2 linked regions of the Oreochromis niloticus genome follow. The protein of the gene in region 1 binds, or shares a complex with, the protein of each later gene. Links are inferred from orthologs where the notes say so. Each region holds a gene or a part of one and is shown on either strand. Other genes may lie near its edges.

Region 1 (9,875 bases):
GACAAAAACATTTCTGTTTCTGTTTCTGTTCTTCTTCTTTTTTTCTTTTTTTTAACCATAAATCTGAGCTAATGAGCAGGTACCTGAATGCAACTTGCTCAGTAACTGCAGACTCTGCTGTGAAATATTACTTTTGCTGTTATGGTTAATATATTACACATATGATACTTTACCTATCCCCTAAAAACACGGACATTTCAGGTCATTACTCACCAGACATTCTTATCCACCCCGTCTGTCCTGCGTGCATGAAGTCGCCTGGACATGATGACCTGAAACAACAAAACAAGCTTTAAAATACACGGCCACTGGCCGCTGGAGACCTCTGTCTTCAGTTTAACAGAGCTGTGCCTACCTTATGATTGTTTCTAATTGAACTCTGTCGAAGTAGAACCAAACTTGCTGCAATGTTCCGGATTATTCCCATTAATAAATGATCTTAGGCTCACAGGAGCAGACGACACATTCAATGTTGTCACTGAGTCCCTGCAGAAGGAAAAAATATCTGTAAACGTTTCTGTTCACTTGAAAGTCCAGGGTTGTTGTTGTTTGGGACCAGTGCAAGATGAGAACGAAGGTCCCAGCACCTCCCCTTCAGCCTCCTTGTGTTTTGATTATCTACTTCCTGTGTGGGCGTGGCTAGATATTACAATTAGAAACGTCACGGACGACGGACAAACACGCGCCCAAAACTCAAGCCGCGGTTCACCTCTGTTGACGTATATGTCAACAATATGTTAGGGTTTTGTTTTTTTGTTTTTTAATACCGTTTTTAAAAGTAGCCGTGAATTTAGGAGAAATATTCCTGAACGTTTCATTTCCTTCTGTTGTTTTTTATTTGAGAGGTCTCAGGTAGTCCTCCAGCAGCCTCAGGACTGACTTTTATCACTGCCAGTGACAAAAAAGTAGTCCAATAAAAAAAAATTAAAAAAGATAAGCCGCAGTTATTTTGTTTTATAGTTCACATTTTACAAATTACATAGATAACATTAAAAAATATATTGAGTTGGCGCTCACTGGCACTTGGCCTAAGAGAGAGCCAGGCTGCTAACCAGCTTCTTTATGGTAAAGCCTCTTTTTTTTTTCTTTTTCTTTTTTTGAAACGGGCACAAACACACACACAGAGCCAAATATGGAAACCTGTTAATTTGAATTATAGTCTGTTCACAATCATGTTCACAATTACATTTTATTGACCATGAATCAAGGTATTCCTCCTGGGCATTAGGGTCAAGCAATATCTGCACAAGGAGAACATTTTATTATCATGTGAATATCACAGTGCCATACAGAAACTGAAAAAAGATGCAAGTTCTCTTTCCTTTGACTAAACTTTGGCTTTTTTCAAGTCCTCGGGCAGCACCCGGCCCTTCTTCCGCGCCCTGTCCTTCTTCTTCTCTGCCCTGCCTTGCTTGCGTTTCCGCAGGTTCTTTTGCCTCTTGTCCTGCCGCTGCTGCATCTTTCCTAGGACGTGCTCGCTCCGCTGCTCCCATTTCTTCTTTTTCTGAGTGCGTCTCTTCTCCTTCTTCTTCAGCGACTCGCGCAGCATGTCCTCGTTGTCTTTGATTTTGATGCCCTCTGCCTTGTAGAGCATGTTGGTCCACATGATCTTCTTTTCCATCTCGCGGGCCTTCTCCTCGTCTTTCTCTCTCAGCTGTTCCAGCTTGGCTTTGCGAGCCTCCACGCGGCTGAGCAGCTGCTTGTAGTTCTTCCCCGTCAGAGGAGTTATCTGGCCTTTTATCCCCTGTTTCTTGTTCTTCTTTTTTTGTTTCTTGTCTATATAACCCTCGTCCACCGTCTCAACCTTGTTGAAGACCAGAGCAGTCTCATTTCTTTTGCTCGAGGCAGCGATGTGCTTCTCTTCCTGTTTTACCTCTAATGGCTGTTCTTTCCCACTTTTTTCAGCTAGTTTCTTCATCAGAAATTCTTTTCTTTTCCTCTTCTTGCGCTCCCGCTCCAGCTTTCGCTTCGCTCGCTTCGCCTGGACAGCTTCTGATAATGCATCCTTTGGAGTTCCCTGATAAAAGACAGGTTAAGATGGTTAGGCTCAAAAAATAATTCTAGGGCACCAAGTCAAGTGACATCACTTCCTGTTTTAGAAGATCCTCAGTACAATAACACCCCCCCCCCGTCTCCCTTCATGAATCTCTTTCATACTGTGTGCAGTCTCTGAAAACTGCATACCTGTCCTCTGGACTCTTCAATCTTTTCGTGGAGCCTCTTGCGTAATACATCGACTGTAGTGAAGCTGGAGTCTACACTTCCTCCTTAAAGAAAAAGCAAATAAGCATTAAATGAGACCCAGTCATGTAAAGAGAAAAACCTCCGCAGAGGACCAGCGTAGGCTCGGTATACCTTGATGCTTCTGTTGTGTAGCTCCATTTGCGGCCTCAGTGTTGGACTCGTTTGGTTTCACGGCAACTTTGATTTTCTGCGCTGCTGGAGAGGGCGAAGGCTTCTGTTGGGGTTTGGGAGTCTTGCCGTCTGTGACCTCATCTTTCCTTTTGCATTTTTTCTTCTTCTTTGGAGGACCAGTGTCACTTTTAGCTTTGAAATGAACTGTACACACACAAACACAATGCACATATTGATGATTGCATGTATATAATGTGTCACTGCAGTTCTACAACACTGCCATTACAGTTACTAGCCTAGGACATGCAACATGTTCAGATAATGTCAGCTAACTGGAGAAAGAAGGATTTGAAATTTTCTGTTGGCAAACTCATGATCAGCTCGTTTCCTCATTTTCCATGAGAAAAAAAACACTCACAGCTGATTTGGTGGGTGACTCTTCTCTTATAAAAGCAATCCTATTAGCAGTAAAACACCTTCCAGTCAATTTATCTCATGACTTCTTGATATGACAAAAACTGTTCTTATATCCTGTGATCAAAGGATGTATGTCTACAAGTTATGAGCTGTTTGGTTTCAAAGTAGTCCACCTGGAGGTCTAGTGTACACATACTTGTACAATGAGACCGTTTTTAAGCCACTTTGCCATATTGTCACTTTTATTGCATATCTTTTTCACTATAATTTTAAATTTAAGTCCTAGACAACAACCATGCATTAGCTGGATGGACTTGAAGAGGACTTTAAAGAAGTGTAATGAGAACTACTGTTGAACTGTTGAATCTCAGTTGTCTGCATCTGCAATGGAATATAACCAAGTCTTTAAGTTGGCTGCGCAGCCTGTCAGAGCATCTCAAGGGAGGAAACACAGCACTAGGTTGTAGACTTAAGAAACCTACTGCTTAGGAAGACTGCAGAAGTATTTAAAGTAGTAAGTATGTATTTATATTTTAAATTCTGTTTATGTGTCTATTTACTTTGAGGGGGGATTTGTGTAAAACTTCTGTGACACCTACATAGTTACTGCATTACTTTTGTTAAAGCCCTTGAATAAAAGTTGAGCCTCTGCACTTGCCTGATTGATTTAAAGTCAACAGTGGAGGTGGACAGTAGGGCTGCCACAAACGATTATTTTGATAGTCGACTAGTCACCGATTATTTTTGCGATTAGTCGACTAATCAGATCATGCATCCATTGGATGTAAAACATACAACTTATTTCACCAGCATGCATCTGCTCTTATATAACTATCATTAGCTTACAGCTTTAAATGTTTAAGGTATGTGCTAACTAAAAATAAAGACAAGATGATAGTTTTTTAAATTTTAATGACATTTGTAGTTTGTTTGGTGGAGTTTAATAAACTCAGCCGTCTGCTCCTTGCTATCTAAAATATAACAGGACACCGGAGTATATTCTCGAGCATCTCAACACTTCTGATAATCAGTTGTCTGCTTGACGTTTATTCAGCTGTGTAAAAACTATAACTTTAATCTCAGCCAACCCGATTTACTCAGGAACAAATAAAATACTAAAAAAAGCCAAACAATATCATTTTTAAGTTATCTAAGTGACTAATATATCATGTTTAACCTGAGTAGCGAAAGACGGCGGTGGGTTTGAAAACGATTTGCCGGGAGTCCGGTGTTCTCACCGGCTCTAGTGAGCCGTCAACCCCAGCTAGCTATCGAGCTGGTGGGTAACAGACGTCTCCGAAAACGTCGGAGCGCACAGCTATATTCACAGCTTTATTCTCGCCTGAAAATATGTTAAAAGTTTATTTTGTGACCCAGAAAGAATAATAAGAGTGATATTAAAACTAACTAGCTGCCGCCATTGTTGAAAACTGAGCAGGGCCGCGCTATGAATTCTGGGACACAGATTCTTCTTCTTCGGGGTTTAACGGCAGCTGGCATCCTTGTACATGCAGTGCTGCCATCTTCTGTTTCAGTCCGTCATTACACTCTTAAATCCTACTACTTATTCCTGCGTCTTTTGGGATCTTACAAAGCTTCAAACGACGCGTCGACTATTAAATTAGTCGTCGACGATTTTAATAGTCGACGTAATCGTGACTAGTCGACTAATCATGACAGCCCTAGTGGACAGAGACAAAACTACAAAAACAACCCAAAAAGTAGCATTGTCCAAAAATCTATGGAGCCAGCTTTAAAAAACATAAAAAGGTCATTTACAATATTAGTTCCCCCCGAGTTATAAATTAATCTTGTTGTCCACAACTTCCCACATAAATGAAATCAGTGAAAGGTAGAAAATTAGTACCTTTAGATATTCCAAAAACAAGTTTATACTTAAATATATGACAAAAACTCATTTTTTTTAACAGTTTTGGGGACAAAAAAGTCATTTAAGAGTAATAGCAGATTATTTTTCTGACATGCTATCAGTTTGGTAACTTTAATAAACAAAGGGTGCATAAAGCCATCAGATGTTTCTCAAACACTGTAGCGCCTCCTGTGGTACCAAGTAGGTAAAACCTGAAACTGTGGCACAAGGTTTGATGACATTTGCTGAGTTTTACGTAGTTTTTCACAATAAATAACACCTAAATGTTAAAGTATGCACTACAGCTTCAATTTTGCCATGTAAACAAACCCAAGCATTTAGCTAACATTACCGAACGGTCTCTTCCTGGGCTCCTGGTCACGTTGAGAAAACACTTTACTTGCAAGTTTCTGAATGTACGAGTCCTTTGAGGCGAGATCCATGTCGACAAGTGAAACGGGCTCCCAACTTTAATCCGGATAAAACAGACACACGATATTTACTGATAAAAACATCAACACGTCCACAGAAGCACGTGTGTAAAAATTAAAAGGGGCGGGGCGTCGCCAATCCGGAAGTAGTAACACCAGAAGTGGTCCCCCTCCAAGCAGAAACTTGTCAGTTATGTAGCTGTGATGTAGTCGATTGTCTCGTCCATTTCCATCCATTTCCACGTTGTTTTGATTCAGAATGGTCTCTCTGACATCTCTGCTGACTTACTCCCGGAGGCTGCTGCCGACACTAAAAACACAGGTGCGTTAGTTGTCGCAGTTTCTCGTCTTTACGGCTCAAACAAAAAAAAAAATTACGTCAAAGTCATTTTCATTGCCGAGTGAACGACTAGCAAAAATGCTGAGTTTATTTTATACATGTGTATTTCAGAATCATGCCTTTTACACCAAGAGGTCTTTCTTCCTGCCAGGACCCTTCAAACGTGTAGACGGTACAAACTAAACTTGTCAACAATTACACCGCCTTTAGATAATTAGAAAATAAAGTCACTGTTGCATATGTTTTCTTTAGCAATATTTTTTCCATTTAAAAAAAAAAAAGTAGAAAATAAATCCGTTTTTTATCTGTTATATGGTATTTTGTCTTTAATGTTGAAATTAGGTAAAAAGTAATAACTACGTAATAATATAAAAAAAATCAACAAAACCTGTTCAGTTTACATTAATGTCTGTCTCCATGGCTGCTGAAATAATCATTATGTATACATTTTAGGGGTAGAATATATATACATTATTCCATTATATTATTTGTAATTGTTATGTCAATATCCACCTTTCACTATTATTCTTTACATAACCAGGCAGGTTCCTTGGCTTTGGACGACAGTCCAGCTCCACAGCAGCCAAAGCTGCAGAGAAAGGAGAAGACTCTTTTCTTAAATGGTTCCTGCTGCTTATCCCTGCCACCACCTTTGGCCTCGGCACATGGCAGGTACGACTTATTTGTTGATTGTTATTGCCTTTTTAAATACACACAATGCGGTTATGTCTTTCTGGTTGTTGTTGGGTGGAGTCTAGTGCCTTCATTGCCTTCATCTGTAGGTGAAAAGGCGTCAGTGGAAATTGAAGTTGATTGATGACCTGACACGACTCACTACTGCAGAACCCATTCCTCTTCCTCTTGAGTAAGTGAGTGGCAGAGAGTGGCTAGATCCTGTATCTATGGGAGAAAATATGAAAAAGCATAATAGGTGCTCTTTAACACTTCATGTAATGGCCTAATGTGCAGAAGTTGAATAAGCCACGTTATGTACATATGTGAATCATTAAGGTGCAGATTTACATGCCATTTCCCCCCCTTGCATTGTAGTCCTTATGAGGTTAATAACCTCGAGTACAGAAGAGTCAAGGTACGTGGACGTTACGATCACTCCCAAGAGCTGTACATTATGCCCCGCTCACCAGTCGACCCAGAGAGAGAGGCCAGAGAAGCAGGAAGGCTCTCTTCAAGTGCAGAGACCGGTGCTAATGTCATCACCCCATTCCACTGTACCGACCTCGGGTAAGGAGCCAGATAAAACATCTCATCATACCAATATCTGTACATTGATCTTGCGCTGCTCCCAAAACTGATTTATACCGTCTGTGTCACTGAAGCATCACAATCCTGGTGAACAGAGGATTCGTGCCCAGGAAGAAAATAAGACCAGAGACCAGGATGAAGGGACAGGTGAGGGGAAGACATCAGATGCTGGGTAAACACAGAGGTTTTAAACCAGGTTGGAGTGTTAAGTCTTTTATTATTCTTGATAAATGAGTTAGTCTTTGTGCAATAAACAAATCTCAGACTCACTTATAAGTCTAATAGGTTTGTGACAAGCTATGTTAGAACTAAGACTACAGTTCAGTTCATAGGTTTTACATACCAGGACATAATAAAAAGTCATCTGGTTGACAGCAAGTCTTAACGGCTAAATACAACCTCAGATGAACAACAACATGACATATCACACCATGTAATTATTTACTGAAAACTAAGCCAAAATACAGAAGCAGCATGTGTAAAAATGATTTACACCCTTACTTACTTCCTGTTCCCGTAAGAATTAGGGGGATAAATTCCAGCCCTGTTGCTGATAATTAAGTGCACTTGATTAATTGATCGTCAGTAAGTGTGAGAACCGCTGTAAAGGTAGAGGTTTTGGTAATTTGCTGGTCTGGAGTATTCAGGTGTGTGTTAACAGAATACCAAAGAGATAACAGCAATGATCCCCTGGGAGGGTTAAATGACTATTTCCAAATATTCTGAAGTCCATCATTGTACATTGAGAAAGATTATTTACATATGGAAAACACTGAAGAGTTTACAGTCTTCCCAGGAGCGGACGTCCCGGCAGATCACCCCAAGGTCAGACCGTGCAATGCTCAGAGAAATTGCAAAAAAACCCAGTAGCTACATGTCAGACTTTGCAGGCCTCAGTTAGCATGTTAATGTTAAACATGTTAAACAGCACAAAGAAAATAATGAACAAGTATGGCTTATTTTGTTCACGTATAACCTGTTTTGGAGCACAAGTTACTATGTTGATCCACCTTGGTAAGAAGTGAACCACCCCTGAAGTTACCTGGTCAAGACAAATCCCACATCCTAGTATAGGCCTTGGGTGTTTCTAGTTTTGAAAAACTCTTGATGTACTGAGAATTCATCTTCAATTAGGCCCCAACTCCCTTTAGTAATTGAATAGTTTAAATATGCCTTGAAGACCCTTTTATTGTCATGTTACTCCTACTAATAAACTTTCTGCATACAAATTTAAATTAACTAAAGCAGAACTGACCTACACCACTTGTCTGTTCGCTAACACACTAACACCACCTTTGTGTTGTTGTAAACACTTGAACCACTGAAATATTGCCTTTATGCAGGTGGAGGATGAGGTGGAGTTGGTGGGAGTGGTCAGACTGACAGAGAATCGTAAACCCTTTGTACCAAACAATGACGTGGAGAGAAACCGCTGGCATTACCGTGACCTGGAAGCAATGGCACAAGTCACTGGAGCCGTGCCCATCTTCATTGATGCCGACTATGGTATGTTCAGTGCTCTTTGACGCAGTGACTTTACATTAAGATTAAACCTCTGGAATCCTCCGTGTGCTGTTTATCTCACTCACATCAACAGAAACACTTTGTTTTTGAAAGTAATTTAAAGTTTTGTCTCATGCAGGTAGCACTATTCCTGGTGGGCCAATAGGTGGACAGACTAGGGTCACACTGAGGAATGAACACATGCAGTACATAATAACATGGTGAGTGTTTTGTTTTGGACTGCTGTAGATATGTGACACACTCATGTCTCAAAGTGCATTTGATTAATAAAATTCTGAATTACTTTTTTCTTCTAGGTATGGTTTGTGTGCAGCTACTTCCTACATGTGGTATGCAAAGTTCATCAAGAAGATTTAAAGCAATAAAATTATTTTACTTGGTACTTGAACTATGGGTAAGCAAATCTTGTATGTGCTTAACTTTTGTAGCTCCAGCCTGGTGCATATATTATGTAAATAGCCTAATGTGTAAATAAAGTACTCAAGCTCTGAGATTCTTTATTTACCTTGTCGCATATACTACGTACCAATAATAACCGTGGGGAAAAAAGATCCTCGTGTCCTGTAAATTATGTGGTTTTGATAAAGCATCTTATATTAAACTTAGGCCAGTTTTTCTGGAAATGTATTTTTTTCAAAACTGGTTAACTTTACTGCTGGATGATATTAAATATAATATCAATATGATCAGATTCAGTAACTCCAGTTACAGAAACTTAGACCATCAATATGTCTACACTTCAATGAATTGAAAGGTAGAGTTCATGATAGTTTTCACCTTTCAAGTTGTGGTTTCTCAGTTATAAAAAAAAACCCAAACAAAACTATCCTGATCACTCTTTTCAAGCAATTTGTCAGATAATGCCCAAGATTATCATTCATCTTGATTTAAACTGTGACACTTCAGGATTCGGCATGGGAAACCTAAAAACGTCAGTTCCACCCTTATTATGAACAAGCAGAATTTAAAATGCTCCCATGTTTACATTTCCTGCTGTCACTGTGGTGACACCTGCAATCTGATTCTAACATTTTTATAATTTTAGTTTGAAAATTAAACAACAAAAGTCTTTCTTTTAGGGCATACATTTTTTATTCCAAACAATTTAACCAAGCTTGGTTGCAAGTTCCTTGGCCTTTGCCTTCTCCAGCTTAGTGATGCGGGCTGTGGATTTGGGACCCATGATGTTACCTCCCCAGTGACGACGGATCTGGAAAATGAGATCGCGAACAGTTAAATATTTGTACAATTTGTTTTAGGATTTGTGAAATGTAAACACTGCTAACTGAGTAATGGTTATTCACCTCCTCGTATCTGTCATTGTAGTTGGTCTTGATGGCTTCCACGAGCTTAGCAAGTGCACCTTTGTCCTCACTAGAAGTAGGGAAAAAAAGAAAAAACACTTTTATACAGATGACTAAATTTCCCTGTTTGAAAATTCACTTCAAATTCATACATACTGTGGTCCCTGATTAAGGGGTCAACTGCTATAGAAAATAATCCAAGCAAATTTGAAGACGTGAATTAAGATCTCACTCCAGAGGAAGTATCAAATCTTTTCTCCAGCCAGTTATTGAACATGTACTAAAAAACATTTGCCAAACTTCACTGTCACACTTGAACACAGTTCAGTGTATGCTCATACTCACGGGTTAATCTGTGTGAAGGCAAATGA
Region 2 (10,463 bases), on another chromosome or scaffold:
TCCCCATTTTGAAGAACAACGTTTTACTAACACTCTAAGTTTATGCTTCCATTCCTGAAGCCTCTCTCAGACTCTTTTCTATCAGTCTGATGGCGTCTAAATGTTTTGCTGTCATGTTTCAATGAGCTCCCCGAGGCCTCAAATACAAAGCAAGATACCCCTCTCATCTGGCTTTACTTAACATAAGAAACAAGGCTAAGTGGTCACGCGAAGGTGATTATTCTCCAAAAGTTGTTTCTGTTCATTGGGTTGTAGCGTTTTCTGTGCGAGAAATGTTTCGTCACTCATCCAAGTGACTTCTTCAGTCTCAGCTGACTGCAGGATTCCCCAATCTTATAAACAGTACATTTGCATAATGACTGAAACCAGCCCACTGAAGGAACAATGGGCTGGGAAGTCAGCGAAACGTTTCTCCCACTGAAAACGCTAAGTCCAGATGAACAGAATAAACTTTCGGAGATTTACTTACCTGGATGATTGAGCATCCATCAAGACGAAGGTGATTATTGATATTAAGTCAGGGAGGAAAGCCAGGGTTTAACAATCTAGCTACGAGCGCATTCACACTAAAGGTGTGGCGCTGACAGCATCTGACCAATAAAAATGGAGAGCCTGACTAGCAGGTGAATAGCTGACTTTACAAAAGAAAGATAAAACTATAATATTAAGATTTGTTAGAGAGCACAATTCATGACTCAATCGCAGCAACTCATCCAAGTGCTAAAACAGCAGCAGGCGCAGACCATGTTCGATGGCTGGTACTTTTCATGAAACGATGTGTTCATTTTTACGCCAAATATAACAGGACTCAAAAAATTAAAAAGTTTAATTATGTTTCGCACAGGGCCAGGTAGGTTTGGATAGATTCCCTAACCCTGCTAGAGCACAGGATAGGTCTACAGCACGTTACCACGGTGATGTACCCAAGTAAGGAATGATCGCCTTCATAAAACAGAAAAACAAAGGTTAACCTTGAAGTTACTTGAACCAGCCCAAATCATGCTTCACACAGACCTCTGATCAATTCTGTGTAAACAATGAAACACCAATGTCCCGGCATGTCTCCTGTGCATACTGCTGAGTTGCTAAGCTAACCACTGTGTAACATGAACAGCATTAACACGTATGCTACAACATTTTACCTCACCCTCAGTGTCTGCAATGACATCAAGTCATTTCTCTAAAAGATTGATAGATTGTGTTCACATTAACACGAGGGCCACATACAGCTCACTTTGATTTTAAGTGGACCGGACAGGTGAAACTCCCTTTTCTCTCAGTGCAAAGAAGCTACATATCTAAATGTTTTTCTACGTGATAAAGAAAAAGCTGCTGTGACATGCTGTCAGCATGAGTCTTTGGACTTAAATTGTAAGAAATTCATGTGTAAATTACATAAATGTTTCTGTTTTTCAAAAGGTTATAATTTGTGAATAGCAGGAGTTGGGCTTTCTTGTCAGGGATAATTTTTTGGGGGGGAAAACACCCCAAAACAGTGGCCAACAACACTGTATGCAATGGCAGACTGGTGCCTTATTAGCAAGGAAATAAAGCAGAAAGTAGAGACTTCTGATGGGAAACTAGTCTTGAAGCACACAGAGAGATAGAGCTGTGCAGGAAGTGCGATTTTATCGTGGTGGAAGCAAGACAGCAAAAGTAAGTGAGGATTCATTATAATGTTTCTTTAAACACGAAGCAGGGTTTTGGTCTTGTTTTGCTGCTGGTCAGGTAAATTTTGTTCGGAGAGTGAGGAAACCTGCAGGTTCTGGAATCTGGGAGATGTTGGCTTTCAGCACCTGACGGCATGTTCATGTACATGTCGTCGGGTGAACGGGGGGATTCACCCTTTGGGTTTACATCTTTTTGTGGAATCTGTTTACCTGCTCTTTAATCGTTTACTATTTTAGCTGTTTGGTGATTGTTGAAATTGTTTTGTAAGCTTTTAGCTGAGATTCTGACATTTCTATGGATACCACACGGGTCTATATTAAAATAACAGATCTGGTGGCAAATCCCATTAAAGCAGATGATCTCCCTCTTGCCTCTGTTACTGGGAGCATTGAGGTTTATTGCTTAATTACTTTGTGTAGTATGAATGGCCATAAGGGAGGTTTTTATCAGTAGGAAAAGCTGTAAAACTTTTGAAAATACAGTTAAAAGTCCAAAATTTCTGCTTGTCCTTGATTGTGGTGAGCAGCAGATCAAACAAGTTAAGAATTATAAATTGCTTCAAGCGCACATTCAGGCCTGTGAGACACTCAGAAACCCAAGATCACTGAAATGCAGCCAGATGCTGCTCACTTTACGTTTTCACTCATTTCTTCACTTTTTCCTGACATGCTTGCATTTAAATCCAGCTTCGCTGTGTCTCTGTGTACATGGCCTGAACCACTACACTTGCTGTCTTCAGAACTTGCCCTCCTTCTTTCTTTCATATAATGGTATAATCCCAATCTGCCTTTGCGTGTGACTGGCCGCATGGTTTGCCCAACAAAATAAAGTCTCTCTTGACATATGAAATTGTATTGCGGGCCATATGTTTGACAACCCTGCATTAAAAGACAAATTAAGAACAGCAATGTTACACCCTTCCCTCTTTCCAGATACTCTGGCGTGATTGGTGATTGTAAATTTGCCATTGGTGTGAATGTATCTCTCTGTGTTAACCTTCTGATAGACTGGTGACCTACACATGGTATATGTGGACTCTCACTTTTTACTTTGGTTTTGATAGAACTTGAGATATTTTAGGTACCAATGCTCACTGTGCAACTGAATCACTATAGTATCACCATGAACCAGGATATACCCAGGGCCTGAAGATAAAGCAGCTACCAGTACATCCATTGGTTACAATACATTTTTATTTTTAACCTATACCTTTCCGACTGTGGCAAATCAAAATAATTTAGAAAAACAAAACAAAAAACAAGGTAGACAAGTTAGACTGAATTACTTCCATTTCCATCTTACTGCCAATTGTGAAATTAGGCAAATGTTGATGTTTGTCCTCGTTTTCTTGACTAGCATCACAGTGTTATAGTTAGCAAGTTGAATTTTCAAACTTTTCTAGTCAATCCCAATCAAAGCTCCTGGTACTCTGGTTCTTACTGAAGACCAAAGAAGTCTCTTTAAGGCACAGATTTAACCAAGATCTCTGCTTTTCTAACAAACTAACAACAGTATGACATAAGGCAGTGGACACACACACGTTTTAATGATGGCTGCTTTCCATTTGGGTTCAGAGTTGTATGCTGGTTCACTCTAATGGCTTACTGTAACACTCAGGTGAACTGGCATATGTTTCTTAACTGTGACAGTTCAAAACGGCCTCCTTAAAAAGGGACCCTGCTGTGTAAACTCGATTCCTGAGCGACACTTTAGTGTGGACAGGAGAAAATCCCACCTTCAACCTTGTCAGCACAGAGCTCCTTGGCTTTCTCCCTCATCTTCTTGGGGATCAGCACATCCTTCTCCACATGCCTCAGATGGGTTTCCTCTGACACGGCAGAGCAAAGCAAATATGAGTATCACCAAGTAAGCATCACAATAAGCATCAACCGCATCAAGCCTACTGAATATGCTTTCTGTTAATTATCAGAGGTGTACGTGGGAGACATGCGTGCTTGTGCTCAACTGTCGTTAAACGCGGATTACCGCACGCAGCTAAAGGCGAGGCATGTTTGGGACCATTAACTGAGACGCTAGACACAGAAGTTCTCATTTATGAGTAATTAACTCAGCATTTTCCTTCAAAGTCGCGACAGCCTCTTTAAGTGCATTTAGCTAACGTTATTATAGCGTCTCAGGTCCATTACAGTTCAATACAGCCAATAAAGACCGACCTAACTCGGACAGCTTATATTAAAAGTATGCCACGAAATACACGAAAAGCATTTGAGTGCATTACGGTATTTAATACCTGCATTTGTTGCCTCCATTGTGATGACTTTTCTTAAAACATTACCCCCACTGAATCAATGTGACCTAGCTCGCGAACGCTCAAAACACTTCCGCTGACGTAGTATGGTGGCCTGAAAAACTGCAATTCCCAGAGTCACTCTGGGCGTCGGAGAGCGAGCGGAGAAGCAGGAGGCTACAGGTGATCGAGCGATGCTTACTGTCGGAGCTGGTGGTTTAGCTCCACGCTCATTTCTGTTGAAGCCCGAGGAAAGGGATTTCTTATGTTTTATCACGTTAAAGAGACAGTCTCAGTTACAGCCTTTATTATTAGAAATATCTCTTATTCACTAATGCGATTCAGGAAATACTACTAATGCTAATAATATTAACTGTGATTAATTGTGATTGCACCAGCCACAGTAAGTTTCCGGTCTAGATGGAAGGTGGAATGAAAACCCTTAAACAAGAAGAAAACATAACTATATAAATTTAGAGCTTCAAAACACTTCTTTTTCTTTTTTTTCTTTCTTTTCATTATAAATGACACGAAATGACAGTTTTTACGTTCTATGTTTTTTCACAAATTGAAGTTACTGGGAGTGTGAAGCTCCCTGTAATTGCTCTTTGTAAACAACGGTGTGCAAGTTATATCATGCAGAAAAATATTTCTTTATCTAATGTGCTGATTTTTAGGAATGTAATCATATGATGATATTAAATGTTTATATTTTACAAGTAATTACATAATTAACATTTTGCACTGTAAAAACAAATTTCACTTTCTGTTAGACCCCAATGCAACCACAGATCATAAACATTAAAACTCCATTAGCCTGTCAAAAAGCTATATAGAGTCATGGTAAAAATGCAGTAAGTTTTTACATTTCTAAACATATTAAATATAATTTGGTCCTTAACAGGTCTTAAATTAGGTAAATACAACCCCAGATGAACTACAACACGTAGCATATTACACTGTGTCATTATTTATTTAACAAAAATTAAAACAAAATTAAGATGCAGTACCTTCTTTTTTCCTGTGAAACCCTTACTGCCTCCATGGAGGGTAATTAAATGCACTTCACTAACTGATCATAAGCAAGTGCAAGCACCTCTTTTAACAGCAGAAGTTTTGGCAGTTTTTTTCGTCAGGTGTGTTTTCACACATTAGAAAGGAGAAAAGATATCGGTAATGATTTTAGTAACAGTTATTGCTCATAAATCTGGGAAGGGTTATAAGGCTGTTTCTAATCATCTGTCCATCACTCTGCAGTGAGAAAGATTACTCACAAGTGGAAAACACTATCTTCTCAGATATAGATGTCCCAGCAAATTCATCCCAAGATCACACAATGCAATCCTGAGAGAAACTGCAAAAACCCCCCAAAACCCCAAGAGCTATATCTCAGACTCTATAGTCCTCAGTCAGCATGCTAAATGTTAAAGTTCATGACAGCACAATTAAAAAAGACTGAACAAGTGTGGTTTGTTTTGAAGGCTTGCCAGGAGAAAGCCTCTTCTCTCTAAAAATAACATGGCAGCGCAGTTTGGCTTTTCAAAATTGCATCTGAACAAACCACAACAATGCCCTTTGGACAGATAAAGTGGAGTTGTTTGACCGTAATGCACAGCACCATGTTTGGTGAAAACCAAATACAGCACAACAGCACTAACACCTCATACCATCTGTCAGCACGGTGGTGGTGGGTGATGATTTAAGCTTGTTTTGTAGCCACAGGACCCGGGCACCTTGCAGTCACTGAGTCAAGCAGGAACTCTTCTGCATACCAAAGTATACCAAAAACTCAAATCTGAGGTCATCTGCCTGACAGTGAAAACTCAGCCAAAATTAATTCATGCAACAGAAAAGCGATTGCAAGCACATCAGCAAATCTATTACAGACTAGTTGAAAAAGAAAAGAATCAAGATGTTGCCAGATTGAAATGCTGTGCATAAGCAAATGCTGGCAAACTTCAGTGAACCACGACAAGGTTGTAAAGAAAAATGGACCAAAATTTCCCTGCAGTGAAGTGAGAGACAGAGAAAGTCATATAGAAAACTAATATTTCCAGTTATTCCTGCTGAAGGTGCTACTACGAGAATTTGAATCATGGAGTGTGTTTAGTTTTTTTACACACTGATTCTATAGTTTGGCTTACTTTTTGTTGACTAAGCAATGACACTGTGCAATATGTATAAAAAGGGCCTAGTTTCTTTTAACATGCCTGTATACTGGTGTCTTTTTTTCACGTGTCTAATCTCCTTTTTTGGATTACACAAACAAAAGACTTTTACAGGGATGTCATTGCAATGACCATTTTCAGAGTAACACCTGTACTTCCCCTTGTTGGCAGTCCAACGTGTCAACTTTGAAAAGGGCGTATGCAGTTTTAATAAATGATTATGAAATAACTGTAAAACACCTTCAGATAAACATCCCACTTTGTCTGATGACTGTCTTCCAAGTAAAGTAGGTTAAGAGGCTGAAGCTGTAAAAATCGTACTATTATGTAAGCTATGTTGCATCAAATACAATTACATTGTGCTGTTAGTTTTGTGTGTTTTAACTGCCAGGGCTTTTTTCTGTACTCTCAAACTACGTATGGTGGCTACATATTTTTAATGCAAACAATAAGACTTGTTTTTAAAACAATATTTGTACCATGTGGCAATTGTGAAATAAAATCATAACAAAATCATCGAAAAACGACTCCTGAAAGTCAGCATCCAACCACAGTGTATCTGTACCTGAACCACAGCCTGTGTGTTGCGCACAGTAAGCCTGACCACAGTCAGCTGTGCGGCGGATCGGCTGTCTGGATCCCATGCAAACAAGGCCCACCTGTTCAATCAAAGAAACAGGTACCCAGCTCACAGACATATACACACCTTTAAGAAAAAGACAGTCTTCACACATACAGACTACGATAAGAAACAGGTGTGAACTACCCACCTCCACATCCAAACCACACAGACACACACCCAGTGCACCTTTACAGCTCACACTCACCCACACATCACCACCGCCAGAGGCGATATAGTGAATCTCTAGGCCGTCTGCCTGTAGTTCTCACGACTCTCTGACCTTACACCGGTAAAGCTGTCGCTTTCCTCTGTGGAGAAAAACAGCCTTTTCATCTAAAAATCAAAGACCAGAAAGAGCAAATCTATGATTTCTACAAGCACAAAAAACCCCACTCCTTTAACAAAAAGAGACCACAGGCCATCACCTGTATGCACACGTGTGCATGCTTTTTATTTCATTTTTTTGAACCTTGAACTTAAATGAACAGATGGATATACACACCTCCAAGTCCAGACAGCACACTCTTCTGTTTCCACCCCTTCTGACACCAGGTGGGCATCTGCAGATTTTAATATCAGCAGAGCTCTCCAAAATGCAACATTCGCCAAATTTCCACAGCAGGGCCAAATGGGCCTCATACGAATGATTGCACAACCACTGAAGCAAATATGATAAAAATGATATTTTAATATCGCTTGAATTCTTGACAAATACAAGAGCTTTATGTGGTGCGTGTCATCCTGTAAAACTGTTTTGACAAAAAAAAAAGTTATATAAGTCTACAATATACAAATAATTGATATTTATGAGCACTCAACAGGTTTCTGGCCAAAATCTTTTTTTCCTGTGATAAATCAGATATCTCAACGAAAGCTTGCTTTTCACTGTAGAAAAAAATATAAAACAATGTTTGTTTTTCATCTCTATACAGTGTGTGGCTGTTTTACTATGATCCTAGTGCTGGCTGTACTTAAACAAGCCAAGACCACATATGGTGCATACTTTTAATATTTCAGCTTGAGTGGTTTCCTTCTGACTCCATGTTTTTTTGTTTTTTAATGTTACAAATAGTGGTTTGGCTGCATTCATTATTTAATACAAGGAAGGGAAACGACAGCTAATGCACAGGTGCTTAACGGCATTTCTTTTTCTTGTAGGCTGTATTTAAAAAAAGAAAAGAAAAGAAAAGAAAAGAAAAGAAAAGAAAAGAAAAGAGGTATTGTGCCAAAAGTACCTACCTACATACAAATCTACTTCCTAATTTACTTTGTGAGTCCATGGTTCCCCTTTTCTATCAATGGGTTTTATTTTTTTTCTTGTGAGTCCACTTACCGCAGTACATTGTCAAAAGCGGTTGTGGTAAAACACATGTACAAAGTACATCTAATGTACTGTTTGTGGACTGATTATACACTGGAACATTAACTTTAAGAGAACTCCTAATAACATGAAAAATATTTGTTGTTCTGGTCTCTAATGAACTCACTGCTATGGGCCCACATGTTTTTGTTCTGTTATGTCAGAGATTATTTGTTGTCAGAGACGTCAACAAATCTTGCTTCATGTGGCTTTAATGCATATGAAATTCAACGTTCGAGGAATTTCAAAAATATGAAATATAAAAAAACATAGAAATTGAATCCTGAACAAGTCCAGTTGGCTCCATAGAGGAAAGCGCTCACTACCCCAGGTAGCGTGCTGACTGATATGGCAGGGACATGGGCTCCCAACACTGATCCAATATTACCCAAACAGCAGGGCCCCATGAACCTGGCAGAAGGAGGTTAGCAAAGTTAAACCCTCTTACGACATGCCTCACTGCTCAGGGCCAACCACCAGCTCCTCCAACTGTCCACTGACGGCCACAAAACAAGGCCCCTGTCAGAGAATGTTAAAGGGTCATTGATCTGTGGAAAAGCAATTATTGATCTATGTTTGAACTTTTTTTATTTGTGAAATGGATCCATTTAGCACACGGATATTAATGGAGGAGTGTAATTGGCAACAAGAAATTTAATACTTTGACAGCAACAACAATCAATTACACATTCATTTAAGGGAGAATATAAATAATACCAATATAAACATGAATAAAATCACAAACCTATAACTAACTCTTATAGTAATTTTGATGTGCATATTTAAAAATCTGTCCTGAAGGCGTATATAGCATGTTTTCCTAAAGTCTGCTCTCCTCTGCGGTGCAGAGCCGCAGCAAGGAGTAGGAGGCGTGTTCTCATTTCCTCCGTCTGCTCGTCTGCTCCCATCTCTACTCCTTCGACTTCCAAGACATCACTCAGCCGGCAGATGGGGTGTGGAGATGAGATTTTAGAGAGTGTTTAAGCCCAAGCCGTGGGGAGCCTCTTCAGGGTCGATAGAGAGCACATAATCCAACGGCTCGGGTGAGGGGATTACAAACCTACAGGCAGACTTCTGCTGTTGAGTCCTGCTGTGGGGCACCTTCCACAGGTCACCCCTGTGACATTTGGCTCCAGCAATTATTGTCAATGTCAACTAAACATCATTATATTAGGATGACTCCCTCCAGGATAGCTTCACCTTTCCTGACTGCTAGTCATTGCTGCTAATATATTGGACTCAGTATATTTATATATGTATATATCTATATCTATATATATATATATATATATATATATATATATATATATATACACACACACACACACACATATATATATATATATATATACATATATTTCTGCAGAAATAAAGACTGAGAAACAAATTGATTAATTGAATAATTGAGAAATTTGTAAACTGTCCATGCCTTGTATCCAGACTATATGTATGTATGTATGCATGCCTGGATAACAGTTTAATACATATCAGGCCTACAGGGATGGAGAATTACTGGTGTATTGTGTGTAAATGAACGTTCACATAACTTACACAATCCAATACAGTGTGCAATCCAAATGAAACAAATAAGTAAAAGAAAAGATTCAGGATTCTTTTCCACCCCTGCAGCATAAGCGTATACAATATTTAAGTAAAACAGAAAGCCTTTTTATTTTACCTTGGCTCTAGTTGTGTTGGCACCACCCGAGCAATGTCAGGATGCATTTCCTCTCAAGCAAGTGAAGGGGTCTGCCACTGTGCCACAATCTGCACCCGCTTCTCAGGCAGGCTAAACCCTTTGACACCACAGTTTTTAATTAAAATTACATTAGGAGTAATCAGCCAGAAGAGTTGGGAATGGAGGTCAGAGGGACTGAGGGAGGGGCAGGTGAGCGGAGGAAGTGCTACGGATGGATGGTGAAGGAGGAGAGAGTCATCCTAAACCAGCGATCTCTGCCGCCAGGTCAGCAAAGGCGTCGCTGTTGCCCTGTCTGCTTCATCTCTCTTATACTTCTAATAAACACCTTAAACAAAAGAGGTGACAACGGGAGAAAAGAGACCCGTCGGCCCTGGTTTTGCATAACAGTGCTGTAGTGAAGCACATCACATGTGGTGAATACAACATTTGATAGCTGATACTTCAGTCCTGTCCAGTGAAAATTTGTAAAGTGGAATTGTTGAAAGTTTTTTCCCCCCTTTCTTTTCCATTACAGGAGACACATCTGGCTTTTTCACTGCATCTGTAAAAGGGGAAGACCGAATGTTAATATGGCTTCCAGGAGAGGGCTGAAGAGAGAAGGGTACAAAGACCCCATTCGTTCTCGCTTGAGGACCTCTCACCAAGATAATTATAAGCTTTATAAAAGTACACAGCAAAAAATAGAAGAAACTCAC

The links. The genes of interacting proteins can lie anywhere in the genome.
Region 2: surf1 (region 1) and cmc1 share a complex: the UniProt entries of both Homo sapiens proteins name them as parts of the MITRAC (mitochondrial translation regulation assembly intermediate of cytochrome c oxidase complex) complex. The link is inferred for Oreochromis niloticus from reciprocal best matches to the Homo sapiens genes SURF1 and CMC1.

The regions. Positions count from the first base shown.
Region 1 is NC_031972.2:15,955,808-15,965,682, reverse strand, and holds surf1 (surfeit locus protein 1), read left to right. Parts: upstream 1-5,247; 5' UTR 5,248-5,332; coding exon 5,333-5,395; intron 5,396-5,524; coding exon 5,525-5,585; intron 5,586-5,954; coding exon 5,955-6,085; intron 6,086-6,195; coding exon 6,196-6,278; intron 6,279-6,463; coding exon 6,464-6,655; intron 6,656-6,750; coding exon 6,751-6,823; intron 6,824-8,019; coding exon 8,020-8,182; intron 8,183-8,318; coding exon 8,319-8,400; intron 8,401-8,496; coding exon 8,497-8,557; 3' UTR 8,558-8,889; downstream 8,890-9,875. Other genes in the region: kyat1 (kynurenine--oxoglutarate transaminase 1), read right to left, coding at 214-272, 356-427; surf6 (surfeit locus protein 6), read right to left, coding at 1,328-2,017, 2,185-2,267, 2,356-2,559, 4,995-5,085; rpl7a (large ribosomal subunit protein eL8), read right to left, coding at 9,306-9,410, 9,505-9,574, 9,850-9,875. UniProt on the Homo sapiens protein: Component of the MITRAC (mitochondrial translation regulation assembly intermediate of cytochrome c oxidase complex) complex, that regulates cytochrome c oxidase assembly.
Region 2 is NC_031976.2:10,659,469-10,669,931, forward strand, and holds the start of cmc1 (COX assembly mitochondrial protein homolog), read right to left. Parts: upstream 4,107-10,463; 5' UTR 3,942-4,106; coding exon 3,923-3,941; intron 3,500-3,922; coding exon 3,407-3,499; intron 1-3,406. UniProt on the Homo sapiens protein: Component of the MITRAC (mitochondrial translation regulation assembly intermediate of cytochrome c oxidase complex) complex, that regulates cytochrome c oxidase assembly.